Rattus norvegicus: one gene and its partners. The protein of the gene in region 3 interacts with the protein of the main gene of each other region in a biochemical or structural test. Links are inferred from orthologs where the notes say so. Each region holds a gene or a part of one and is shown on either strand. Other genes may lie near its edges.

The links.
Region 1: the proteins of Acta1 (region 3) and Gsn are reported together in a solved structure, tested with the Homo sapiens proteins (3 studies listed by BioGRID and IntAct). The link is inferred for Rattus norvegicus from reciprocal best matches to the Homo sapiens genes ACTA1 and GSN.
Region 2: the proteins of Acta1 (region 3) and Gc are reported together in a solved structure, tested with the Homo sapiens proteins (2 studies listed by BioGRID and IntAct). The link is inferred for Rattus norvegicus from reciprocal best matches to the Homo sapiens genes ACTA1 and GC.

What each region holds. Positions count from the first base shown.
Region 1 is NC_086021.1:39,015,287-39,018,934, reverse strand, and holds part of Gsn (gelsolin precursor), read right to left. Parts: intron 1,268-3,648; coding exon 1,106-1,267; intron 1-1,105. UniProt on the Homo sapiens protein: Calcium-regulated, actin-modulating protein that binds to the plus (or barbed) ends of actin monomers or filaments, preventing monomer exchange (end-blocking or capping).
Region 2 is NC_086032.1:18,926,231-18,929,878, reverse strand, and holds part of Gc (vitamin D-binding protein precursor), read right to left. Parts: intron 2,906-3,648; coding exon 2,836-2,905; intron 1,840-2,835; coding exon 1,707-1,839; intron 1-1,706. UniProt on the Homo sapiens protein: Involved in vitamin D transport and storage, scavenging of extracellular G-actin, enhancement of the chemotactic activity of C5 alpha for neutrophils in inflammation and macrophage activation.
Region 3 is NC_086037.1:68,781,373-68,785,759, forward strand, and holds the start of Acta1 (actin, alpha skeletal muscle), read right to left. Parts: upstream 2,823-4,387; 5' UTR 2,762-2,822; intron 1,781-2,761; 5' UTR 1,769-1,780; coding exon 1,640-1,768; intron 1,544-1,639; coding exon 1,219-1,543; intron 1,030-1,218; coding exon 868-1,029; intron 770-867; coding exon 578-769; intron 443-577; coding exon 261-442; intron 185-260; coding exon 41-184; 3' UTR 1-40. UniProt on the Homo sapiens protein: Actins are highly conserved proteins that are involved in various types of cell motility and are ubiquitously expressed in all eukaryotic cells.

The DNA of each region.
Region 1 (3,648 bases), on a different chromosome or scaffold from region 3:
ACGACATGGAGGAATCTCAGATATGCACGGTTGAAAAAAGGAATTCAACATAAGAGAGGACGGTCTCCTGCACATAATTTCAGAAACGTGCAAGAAAACCAAAAAACAAACAAACCGAGTCTATCCGATTGAGAGTTCTGAAGGCTGCCCTCAGGGCAGAGGGACTGGGAGGAACAGCCAATGCTTTGCAGAGAGCTGTGATGCTGTTTCCTGATCTACAGTTAGGAGTTTGCAGGTACGCTCGCTGGGTGAGATACAGAACAGCAGCTGGGAGTATAGCACAGCTTGCCATGTCACTTTAAAAAAACTACACTGAAGCCTAAAAGGCAGCTCTAGAGCACTGGACGCTCTCTCAGGTCATCCGGGTTTGACCCCCAGCACTCACATGGACGCTCACAGCCATCTATAACTCCAGTCCCAGAGGAGCCACGTCCCTCCTCTGACCTCTGTAGGGATCAGGTACACATGGTACACAGATGAATATGCACCTCAAACACCCTTACACATACCACAGGCTCATGTGCACAGAAGTTTTAGGGCACAATGTCTGGCTGTAACCGTCTGCGGGTTTGTGCTCATGCGGAGTATGTGAGAAGCATCACCATTAACCTGTAAGCAGGCCTTGGCATGCGTACCACACACAGCATCACATACTAGGTACATAGGCAACCTGTGATGTTTATGTCGCATGTACACTATGGGTCCATCCAGGTCTGTATGTGTGGGCACTCACTGTAGGGTTAGTGTCCATAGTGGACGAGGACCTTCAGGTTTGCCCATAGCTGCCATGTGCTTAGAGGTGAGTGTCTATATTTTAAAGGGCATATAACTGTGTGTCAGATATCAGAGAGGCTGCATTTCAAGATCACTGTGTGAGTGATGGGAACCCGAGGTCCGTGTACACATGCAAGACAAGCTTGAGTCTACATGTGGTAATCTAGTACCAGACTTATCCAATCTAGATCTGCCCGCCTGACACCTCTGTCAGCCTCTGGTCTCTATCCCCCAAGTATTCATGCACCCCTTCACCAGTGTTTCCCCTCCCCAGAGTCAGACCTGGCCAAGTTCACCACAGTGGCCTTGGGAAAGGGCAGGCAAGACTCACATTTCCCAGGTCCAGAATGAAGCAGTCACCGTTGTTGAAACTGTCCCAGGACACAGGTACTTCAGTGGCACGGACTACACGGCGTCCCTTGACCTGGAAGAGCCTCTGCACCACCACCTCGTTGGGTACCACGTGTTTGAATCCAGATGCCACGCCTCCTTTCTGTCAGGTCAAGGGGACAGTGTTAGTCCAGGGGAGGAGGTCTGGTGAAGTAGATAACAGAGGGGGTACAGGACTGAGGGAAGGAAACTTCCGACTACTGGATAGATACTCAGTGCACCCAGGAACGTCACTCTTACTGTGTCTGATACTGAGACATTCTCTTCTGGGGTTCAGTAAAATGAATAACATTTACCAAAACCATGTGGCTAAAAAGCATTAGATTCCCTACCCACTACATTCCACTGAACCTTACACTCCACCTCAAAGATCTCAGAAGCCACTTCCTGGATCAAAGGACTGTAAACATTCCTCTCCAAAACCAGCGCTCCCCAGGGGGCGGGCACGTTGTGGCACACTACACAAGCTATTCTTCAAGGAAAGAGATCAGTCATCAAAGTGTAGGGGATGTTCCTTACTCACTGAGCCTGACTGTTACACAATGAGCACGAACATATATACCAAGGGCTCCTATGGTTATATTCCACAGTCTCTCCCTAGCTCGCCACTCTTCTCCACCTCACCCCGTTCCAGCACCTATTCTGCAAGACACTCCTTGATAAGCGCTAATCCAACCCACTACAGCCCTTCCCATCATGCGAGGATCTCTGAAGGTCGTCTTGGACACCCCTAGCCCACATTACCCTGTCTCCTTCTTCCTGCGGGGGTCCTGTAAGCCCACAGGTCCACGTGAGCCTTCATGCGGGTAGAGGAAAGGGCCAGCCTCCATCACAGCAATGGATGACTTTCAGTAACCATCTCCCCAGTCTTAGCCTCAGGCCTCTCCTGCATCCTTCAGCCACCACCAAATTCGGAAGGACCCTGCTCAGAGGCTTCCTTACCCCAGCTGCGCCCCCGTACCCCCGACACACTGGTTCAGTAGAAAGTCTAAGGAAGCTGTCTGGGATGGCTCCAGATTCAGGTACTCACCAGCCCTCCACCTTACACTCTTTTTGCCCAACCTAAGCCAAAGCCCAGAGAAGTGAAGTGATTTCCTCTGGCATGCTCAGCAGGTCTGGGGCACACTCAAGGCTTCCAGCCTTGCTGCCTGCTATGGGTCTCCCTGTTCCATGTACCATGAGGGTGAGGGTCTGGAGGCTTCTATAGGTCCTCAGACCACCCCAGTCAGGACCCTATCTGCCCATCTCCTTGCACTGACCCTAGCCATACAATCATGATGGGTGTAAGGAGGCTGAGGCGGCCATTTTAGGAGGCCCGTGTTAGCCACGGTAACAGTAAGTGGAATGGATGTGTTTATCACGTGATCATACCCACTATACCACACATTCCACATGTATCTCACAGGTGAGGAGAGCAGAGCTCACACATGAAGGGACTCGCCCAAGCTCTCACAGCAGGATGGGTAGTGCGGCCGGCATCAAACCACAGTGTGTTGGAATCTGCAAAATCATGTCCTTCCTCCCAATATCAGATCTTAGGCCCAGGTACAAGCAGTTTTGAGTTTCTGGGGGCTGGAGCGCCCTCTGGTGTCCTTTCTTGGTGTGGGCGTAAAGCCTATTCAGCACCACCAGGCAGCTGTGGTGCCACTGGGTGGAATGACCTCAGCTACACCCGTGGCTTCCGTCTCGACTGGAAAGTCCACAAGTCAGTAGCAAGCCAGGAACTTTTCCCATCATAGAAAGAATAAACCTGAGTTCAGGTGGCCATGATGCCTGAGGCCCAAGAATGGTGTGAAGGCTGGAGGAGGGCAAGGGTTGAGGCAGTCGCTGGGGATGAGGTGAGGAACAGACACTGGGCAGCTACCCTAGCATTCTGTGCTTCCTCCACAGTCACCCACAGCACCCCAGGGTCACATGATTAAGCAGCAGTCAGGCTGGGCAATGCTGCCCATGTAGGACTCACAACAGCCTCTGAGGTAGGAACAGTCGTGGCATGAGGCACCAAGATGCTGGTGGGCCTGAGAGTCCTGATGCATTCATTCTACTCACTGCTGCTGACCCAGAGAATGACACTTGAAGAGATACACATACACACATACATGCACACATATCGACATACATACTTACATATATACATACATACACACATATACACACATACATATACACATACACACACATACACACATACACACATACACACACATACACACATGCATACATTTATACATACACACATGCATACACACATACATACATACACACATACACATATACACACACATGCGTACATTTATACATACACACATACACATATACACACACATACACACATGCGTACATTTATACATACACACATGCATACATATACACATATACATATACATACATATATACATACCCTATATACACATATACATATACACACATACATACATATACATACATACACATATACATATACATACATATACATACATATAT
Region 2 (3,648 bases), on a different chromosome or scaffold from region 3:
GACTTTCATAAATAAATAGACTGTACTTATTGGGTTGTAGCCATTTGGCCTTTCTCGCATAGTCTGGTATTTCTCAGTGAAGGGATTTTTAGCATCTCTGAGGTGAGGAACACTTGGAGACATTCTGGTAGTGGCTCTCATCTAATTTCCTACCCCCCTTTTTCTTGCAGTTAGACCACAATCAAGGATAACTTCCCATGGCCTCCTCTCCTCCCTTTACTAAATGAGCATCCTCTTCACATCGCTGGCTTTAGCTTCCTGTAAGTTCCTGGGTTTTCCTGTTTTCAAATATCCCAAGATGACATGGTGTGCAGTGAGTTTGAAATGATGAGCACCGATGAACTTGGCAGGGAAAGAAATGATGTAAAAGAGAGGCTGAAGGGGGCACACATGCCAGTCATTGGGTAAGGGTAGTCACCATACAGAATCTATTGTAATAATGGTGTGGAACGGACACTGATTGTTCTGTGGAGGCCTTTAAACCAGGTCCACCTATTTGTACCTAGGCCAATGACCTCATTAGTAAAGGTTTGTCTCCTTAGCTCTGCCTTCATCAGTTACTGTCTGTACACTGAATTTTAATCTTCTTCCTTCAGGATTTCAATTTCTAAGTAAATGCTATAGGAGAGAAAACACAGGCAAATGTACAAGCATGTACCTGATATATGGGTTTTCTTTATACCCCGACATGCATACTGACTACATAGCACATGTTAAAGTTATTTTAAGAGGTTTATGAGTTTGTATTTATGAGGTTCAAATTTAAAGTGATCTAAAAGTTTATTTGTTTATACATTCTCTCATATCATGACCACAGTTTCTCCCTCCCTGCCTCCTCCCCTTTCTCCCCCAATCTACTCTTCCTTTCCCTTCAGATAAAAAGCAAGCTTTTCAGGGATATCAACCAAACATTGCATATCAGGTTATAATACGACTATGCACTTCCCTTCCTATGAAGGCTCGCTGAGGCAATCCAGTAGGAGGAAATGGGTCCCAAAAGCAGATAAAAGGGTCAGAGATATCCCCCAGTCCCACTGTTACAATCCCCACAAGAAGACCACGATACACAACCATAATATACACTGAGCACTTTGCTCAGTCCCATGCAGGGTCGCCAATTTTCAGTTGTCTCTGTGAGACCCTATGAGCCCAAGTCAGTTGATTCTGTGAGTTTCTTGTGGTGTCCTTGACCCCTCTGGCTCCTATAATCCTTCCTTTCCCTCTTCTGCTGGCTTCCCCCAAGCTCTGCCTAATGGTTTGGCTGTGGTCTTTGCATCAGTTTCCGTCAGCTGCTGGGTAGAGCCTCTCTGATGACAATTGTATTAGGCACCAATCTTTGGGTACGACTCTAAAAGTTTTTAAGAGTCCAACCTGGATTTAAATCTGACACACGGTCCTCATTATCAGCATTTATTTAGTCATTCAGTTACCTTATCCAGTCAGTTTTCTTTTGGAACTTGTAGTGACACTGAATAAAAGGAACTCAGTAATAAGATAAATGTGGGCACTAAAAATAATAGTCTTTAATTTTCCTTCTAACTGGGAGTAGGTGACTTGGTATCTAGAGTGTCCTGAAAATGTGACATAAAGGCCTATGGCTAGTCCTTTCCCTGATCCACAATAGAGACAGATAGACAGACAGACAGACAGGCGCGCACACACACACACACACACACACACACACACACACACACACACACACTTACCCTGGTGTCATAGCAGTTGGGATCTGCTCCCTCAGCACAGCATTCCTCAGTTAAGGAGACAACTTCCTTCACAAGCTGACTGACCTGTTCAAAGGTGCTACTGGGAAACTTCCTGCTGTATAGGATTAGTGATCTGAGGGAGAGAAAAGCGATCATGTTAATTGAGGGGTTTTTTTTTGTTTTTTGTTTTGTTTTTGTTTTGTTTTGTTTTGTTTTGTTTTGTTTTGTTTTTTTGGCATTTTTGACTCACGCCAAAATAGGATATCTATTCCACTTTTAAATAAAATATTTTATGCATTAACTTTTTCTATTTGTCTAAAGGTGAGAATATGAAGTTGTATGTAGAGCATTTGTTTGTTCTATGAAAAACTATCTTGTGTACAGTCGTGGTGGTTTGAAAAAATGCTGCCCCTCTCCCCATAAGCCCCAAGGGAGTAGCACTATTAGGAAGTGTGGCCTCGTTGGAGTGGGCGTGACTTTGGTGGAGGAGATGTGTCACTAGGGGGTAGCCTCTGAGGTCTCTGAAGCTCAAGCCAGTTCACTTCCTGCTCCCTGCCGATCTTGATGTAGAGCTCTCAGCTTCTTTGTCAGTCCCATGTCTGCCTGGATGCTGCCATGCTTCCTGCCATGATGATAATGGACTAAACCTCAGAATGTGAAAGCCAGAACCAATTAAATGTTTTCCTTTATACAAGTTGCTGTGATCATGGTCTTTCTTTACAGCGATAGAAACCCCTAACTAAGACAACAGTAAAAAAACTGGATTTGTAGTTCCTATCAAAATAGCCTGGAGTCTGTTTTGAACTTCCCCACAAAAAGCATATTCTGTAGGTCACTGCTGGTATGTTCCAGAGTCCTAAAACGGACAGTTCTAATTTATCTCAGAAACCCGTATGTATGCTTCACTACAAACTCATTCCTTAGATTTACCAGTGACGGTTTCTCAGACCACAGTAACCACAGGTCAGCTGACCTCTACCTGCTTGACCTGTTGGTCCACAGTGGCCAACAGTCTTCCCTCATCTTGGTGCCCATTTCAGTCTTCTAGATAGCATGGCAGTTAGCTTGTGCACACATGACTTGTCTAAGGTCATGTCCCCAAGAGAACTTTACAGATATGGCAACTCACAGAGATCTGAAGTCATCTTTCCCCAGCGTGGAGAGTTCCTGGCAAACTTTATCCTTCTCATAATCTCGGCCTAGAAAGCAGATATAAAAAGTAACCATCTTTTTTCTTCAAATAAATATTATATTATATAAAATATATTATATATGTTATATACATATATGTAATACACTTATATAATATTGCTCTTCAACATGACCTGTAGTAAAGGCTTTTCTTAATACCTGTGCAGTTTTCATTTGCAGTTATCTTTTCATCTATCTCCTCATAATAAGCCTCAATTTTGTGATTTTTTTTCTATTAACTTCTACTGTGTAGCAAGCACAAAAGGTAGACCGAAGTGACACTCAGCATGAAAGTGAAATGCTACACGTCAGTGAGTCAGGACTACCCACACGAAAACCATTCTCTCTGGCCTTCTGTATAGAGTGCTGCAGGGGGTTGCTCCTCTGTCCCTCCTTCCCAGTCTTCCTTCTCTCTCTCCCTCCCCTCTTCCTTTCCTTTTCTTTCTTCTCTCCTTCCCTTTTGTTGTCTGTTTCGTCTAAGCCTTCAACAAGCCAAATGACAAAGGTAAGAAAGAAGCCTCTGGACTCCCAGATGAGTCTCTAGTTATATTAAGGCTGAACTTGGAAGAAGACAGTAATTCGGAAAGCTGCAGTCGGGCTCTGTCACCACCCCAGACTCCTAAGGAATTCAGCTAGGGAAATGGCTGTACTTCCTTGCTCTTCAAGAGTAGTGAGGGCATCTTCATAATCATAGTCCTTCTTAGCTTTCCTTTAGGGTCTGGGATTCTGACTTTAGAAATCACCTGGGCAG
Region 3 (4,387 bases):
GTCCTGAGGAGAGAGAGCGCGTACACAGACGCGGGTGCGCCTAGAAGCATTTGCGGTGCACAATGGAGGGGCCGGCCTCGTCGTACTCCTGCTTGGTGATCCACATCTGCTGGAAGGTGGACAGCGAGGCCAGGATGGAGCCGCCGATCCACACTGAGTACTTGCGCTCAGGGGGGGCGATGATCTGCAAGACAAGAGTGTCAGGTGCCTGCGAGTTCCCCCCGCCCCTGGTCTCCGCCCATACCAGGCGCGTCATCCACCTTGATCTTCATGGTGCTGGGAGCCAGAGCTGTGATCTCCTTCTGCATGCGGTCAGCGATACCGGGGTACATGGTAGTGCCCCCTGACATGACGTTGTTGGCGTACAGGTCCTTCCTGATGTCGATGTCGCACTTCATGATGCTGTTGTAGGTGGTCTCATGGATCCCCGCAGACTCCATACCTGGTGGCCCGGGGGAGAGGCAGTGTGAGCAACCACAGAGTCAGACTAAGGGCACCGGCGGGAGGAGACCCCGTACTCTGAGGCGTGGGATGAGGGAAAATTGATTCCGGCAAACCAGCGGAGCCGGAGGCTCACCGATAAAGGAAGGCTGGAAGAGCGTCTCCGGGCAACGGAAGCGCTCATTGCCGATGGTGATGACCTGCCCGTCAGGCAGCTCATAGCTCTTTTCCAGGGAGGAGGAAGAGGCAGCGGTGGCCATCTCATTCTCGAAGTCCAGGGCCACGTAGCACAGCTTCTCTTTGATGTCGCGCACAATCTCACGTTCAGCTGCAGGAGCAGAAGCAGTGGGAGGCCTCAGAGCAAGGCCTGGGGCATGTGCTCACCCTCTGCCGGCCCACCCTCAGCGGGGCGTTGAGAGCACGCACCTGTGGTCACGAAGGAATAGCCACGCTCGGTGAGGATTTTCATCAGGTAGTCAGTAAGGTCGCGACCAGCCAGGTCCAGACGCATGATGGCGTGTGGCAGGGCATAACCCTCATAGATGGGCACGTTGTGGGTGACACCGTCCCCAGAATCCAACACGATGCCTGTGCAGGGGAGGAGCAGTGTGTGAGTGGAGGGGACCAGCAGAGAGAGCAGGGACAGTGGTTCTGGACTGGGGGTCATCAGGGATTGAATGGGAACGGTGCAGGGTCTGAGGCAGAGGATTCAAAAGCTGGGCTGGAATGTTGGGGCGACGCTACCTGGACCAGAGTGGGCCGTGTGTGAGCACTCACCGGTGGTACGGCCGGAGGCATAGAGAGACAGCACCGCCTGAATAGCCACATACATAGCAGGCACGTTGAAGGTCTCAAACATGATTTGAGTCATCTTCTCCCGGTTAGCTTTGGGGTTCAAAGGGGCCTCAGTGAGCAGGGTCGGGTGCTCCTCGGGGGCCACACGCAGCTCATTGTAGAAGGTGTGGTGCCAGATCTTCTCCATGTCGTCCCAGTTGGTGATAATGCCGTGTTCAATGGGGTACTTCAGGGTCAGGATACCTCGCTTGCTCTGGGCCTCGTCGCCCACGTAGGAATCCTTCTGACCCATACCGACCATGACACCCTGCAGATGGAGACATCAGATACTTGTTACTACAGCCAGGGGGCAGGGAGAACACCGGCTGTATTCGGAGAGCCTATCTTCTGCTAGCAGCCTGACCTGGTGACGGGGCCGACCCACGATGGATGGGAACACAGCCCTGGGGGCATCATCCCCGGCAAAGCCAGCTTTCACCAGGCCAGAGCCGTTGTCACACACAAGAGCGGTGGTCTCGTCCTCGTCACACATGGTGTCTAGTTTCTGCAAAGAGAAAGTGTTGAGCGTTGTGAGTATGTGATGGGGGTTAAGGTGAAGCTCTGCTTAACCCATCTTCACTTTGGAGATCCACACACTCCTCTCCCCCAGCCCCTTCCTTGCACAGGGCCAGAGGATGCTCTCCCAGGTCAAGGCTGTGCTTTTTGCTATGGGAAGCAGTTTGTTGGCCACTTTAATCCCTCCATGTAGGCATGCAGAGGACATCCTGAGATCCTCAGCCTTCGCTGTTGGCCACACATGTCACAGCTAGCGCTGGCGCTATTCCTCTCTACTCAATCTCATCTGTGAAGGAGGCATTAAGGTCCACCTGCCAGTCTTATGAGAGCGGCAAGGATTTTGCCCAAGGAAGGGTAATACTGTCCCAACTCTGGAAAGAATTGCCCGTTTGAAGCCCCACGGCATTCCAAACTCAGAAGGAACCCTTCCACCCGCCTCCTATTTCAGAGAAGAGTAGCCTGGCACGGTGCTGGGCTTTAGAAAAGCCTTGAGCTCAGAAGGCTAAGACAATGCTTGCCTCTCTCCAAACTCATCTTCAAGTCAGTCTCCCAGGGGCTGGCTCTGTGGGAGATCCAGCCCACCTCTTGCATCACAAGGGCCCAGATTTGATCCCAGCAGAGAAAGAGGGTGGGGAGGAGAGAGGGATGAAAGGCAGGAGGGGAAACTAATTCAGGGAGAGAAATCTCAACCAACCAGGGGCTGGTGTGTGGCTCGGTAGGAAAACACTGGCTTGCTCACTTGCAGGAGGACTCGGATTTAGTCCCCAGCAAGGGGGGGGGGAGGGTAGAGTCTGAGGGTGGAAATGGATGGGTGTCAGACACCCCCTCCCACCAGGCAAAAAAGTCAGCATCCCAAATGGGCTGGATATGAGTTTGGAGAAATTTCCAGAGCCCAGTGACAAATACAGGCCCAAGGCTCAATAGGTTTCTCTGCTGGGTCTCCAGGTCACCCTCCCCACCTCCACCCTACCTGCTGCTCTGACTCTGGCCCTGGGTGCCGAGGGTAGGAAGTGAGGCTTCACGTCCGTGTGACCGCCTGTCCCTAGCTCAGGTTTTTATATAGTCCTGGAGCTCTCTCCACACCGCCCCGAAGGAATGTTGTTGCCCTTCCCAAGCCATATTTGGGTGTTGGGCACTAGAGTCCCTTCGGCTGCTTCTCAGCCTGGGTCCCCGCCCGGGTCTCCTGCACTGACCAAAGAAGGAGAGAACTGGCCCTGGCCCAGGTAGCTAGGACCGGACCGGGCCGTATATGGAGAGTATCCCAGCTGTCCGCTCCTCCCAACTGGCTCCAAGGCTGCTGAAGGGCTGGGCTGGACCAAAGGTCACTGTTTTGCCGATCACTGATCTGCACTTCCCAAGTTTTACCTGTTTCAAAGGTCTCCCCAGATCTGCCCACCTGAGCGTGATTGCTGACTTGTCACAATGCACTCCACCTACGGGTTCTTAACTCAGACTACCAAACCCTGATGCGAAAGCCCAGGGGAGGGAGCCCTGTTGTCAGATGAGCTGGGAGGGGTCATGGGCCCCAGATAGGGATGGAAAAGAACCCCCACATTCAAACATTTTCTTCCCCACCTCAAAGCTCCCCAATCCAGAGATCTGACACACATCACCCCCATTCACCCCCACAGGCTGTCAGTCAGTGTAGAACATGCAGCTGTCACTGGGTAGACAACTGGTGGAAGAGAGGGGAGGAGGTAGTGAGGGGAGAGGCATGGTGGCTATGTGGCCTTGGCCCAAGGAATGTGAGGCCAGGGCATTAGAGCTGTCCCCGAATTCTACGTGTACTCTTGAAAGGAATGGAAGGGCCAGTGTGCGCATGTGTATCCCAAACTCTGGAATTGACTGGCATCTTGTTGGCTAGGTTGAGCAAATGATACCCGTTCTCCTCTGGTGGCACTAAGTTTCCCTCCCCTGGGTCTGAGCAAAGGGTCCCACCTGGAACTGTTGGAACCTAGAGGGGGCTGAGGCAGGGAGAGGTGGTGATGAACGTGCCTTCTAAGGAGCACTCAGATCTTACCCTGCAGCCCAAGAGCAGCTCCTCCCACCAGACTCATCTTTATATTTAGAGGATGATGCCTGACAGCCAGGCTGCTTCCCATCCACCTTGGGGGCACCACCTGCCAGGCCTGTGTGGGTTCTATTTATACTGCAGATAGATGGGGATCTATCCGCCTTTGGGTTTCTAGAAGGAGCTACTTATGGAAGCTGGGGCAGGGGGGTGAGTAGAGGTCATCTCTTGGCGCCTGTCTCAATTTGGGAATGGAGAGGGATAAGAAAGCCCAAAGGAAACTGTTCTGTGACCAACCAGGCGACATGCTTGGAGGGGTGCATCAGAGCCAAGCCTCCATGGAGCCATTCACTTTTCTGATGGCTTAAGCGCTCCCAAAATAGCTGTTCCCATTTGGAGTGGAACTTAGCAGCTGGGACAGGTGCAGAGCCTCTGAGAGAAGAGGCTCCATGAAGGGACTCCAGGCTCCCACACAGCTCTTCCTAAACCGGGGCTGCACTGCCTAACCAGCATCAGTCCTGTGGCTTTGCCTTTACCCTGTGCCGGGACAATGGGACCGTTAGAATAGAGCAAGCAGCACTTTGG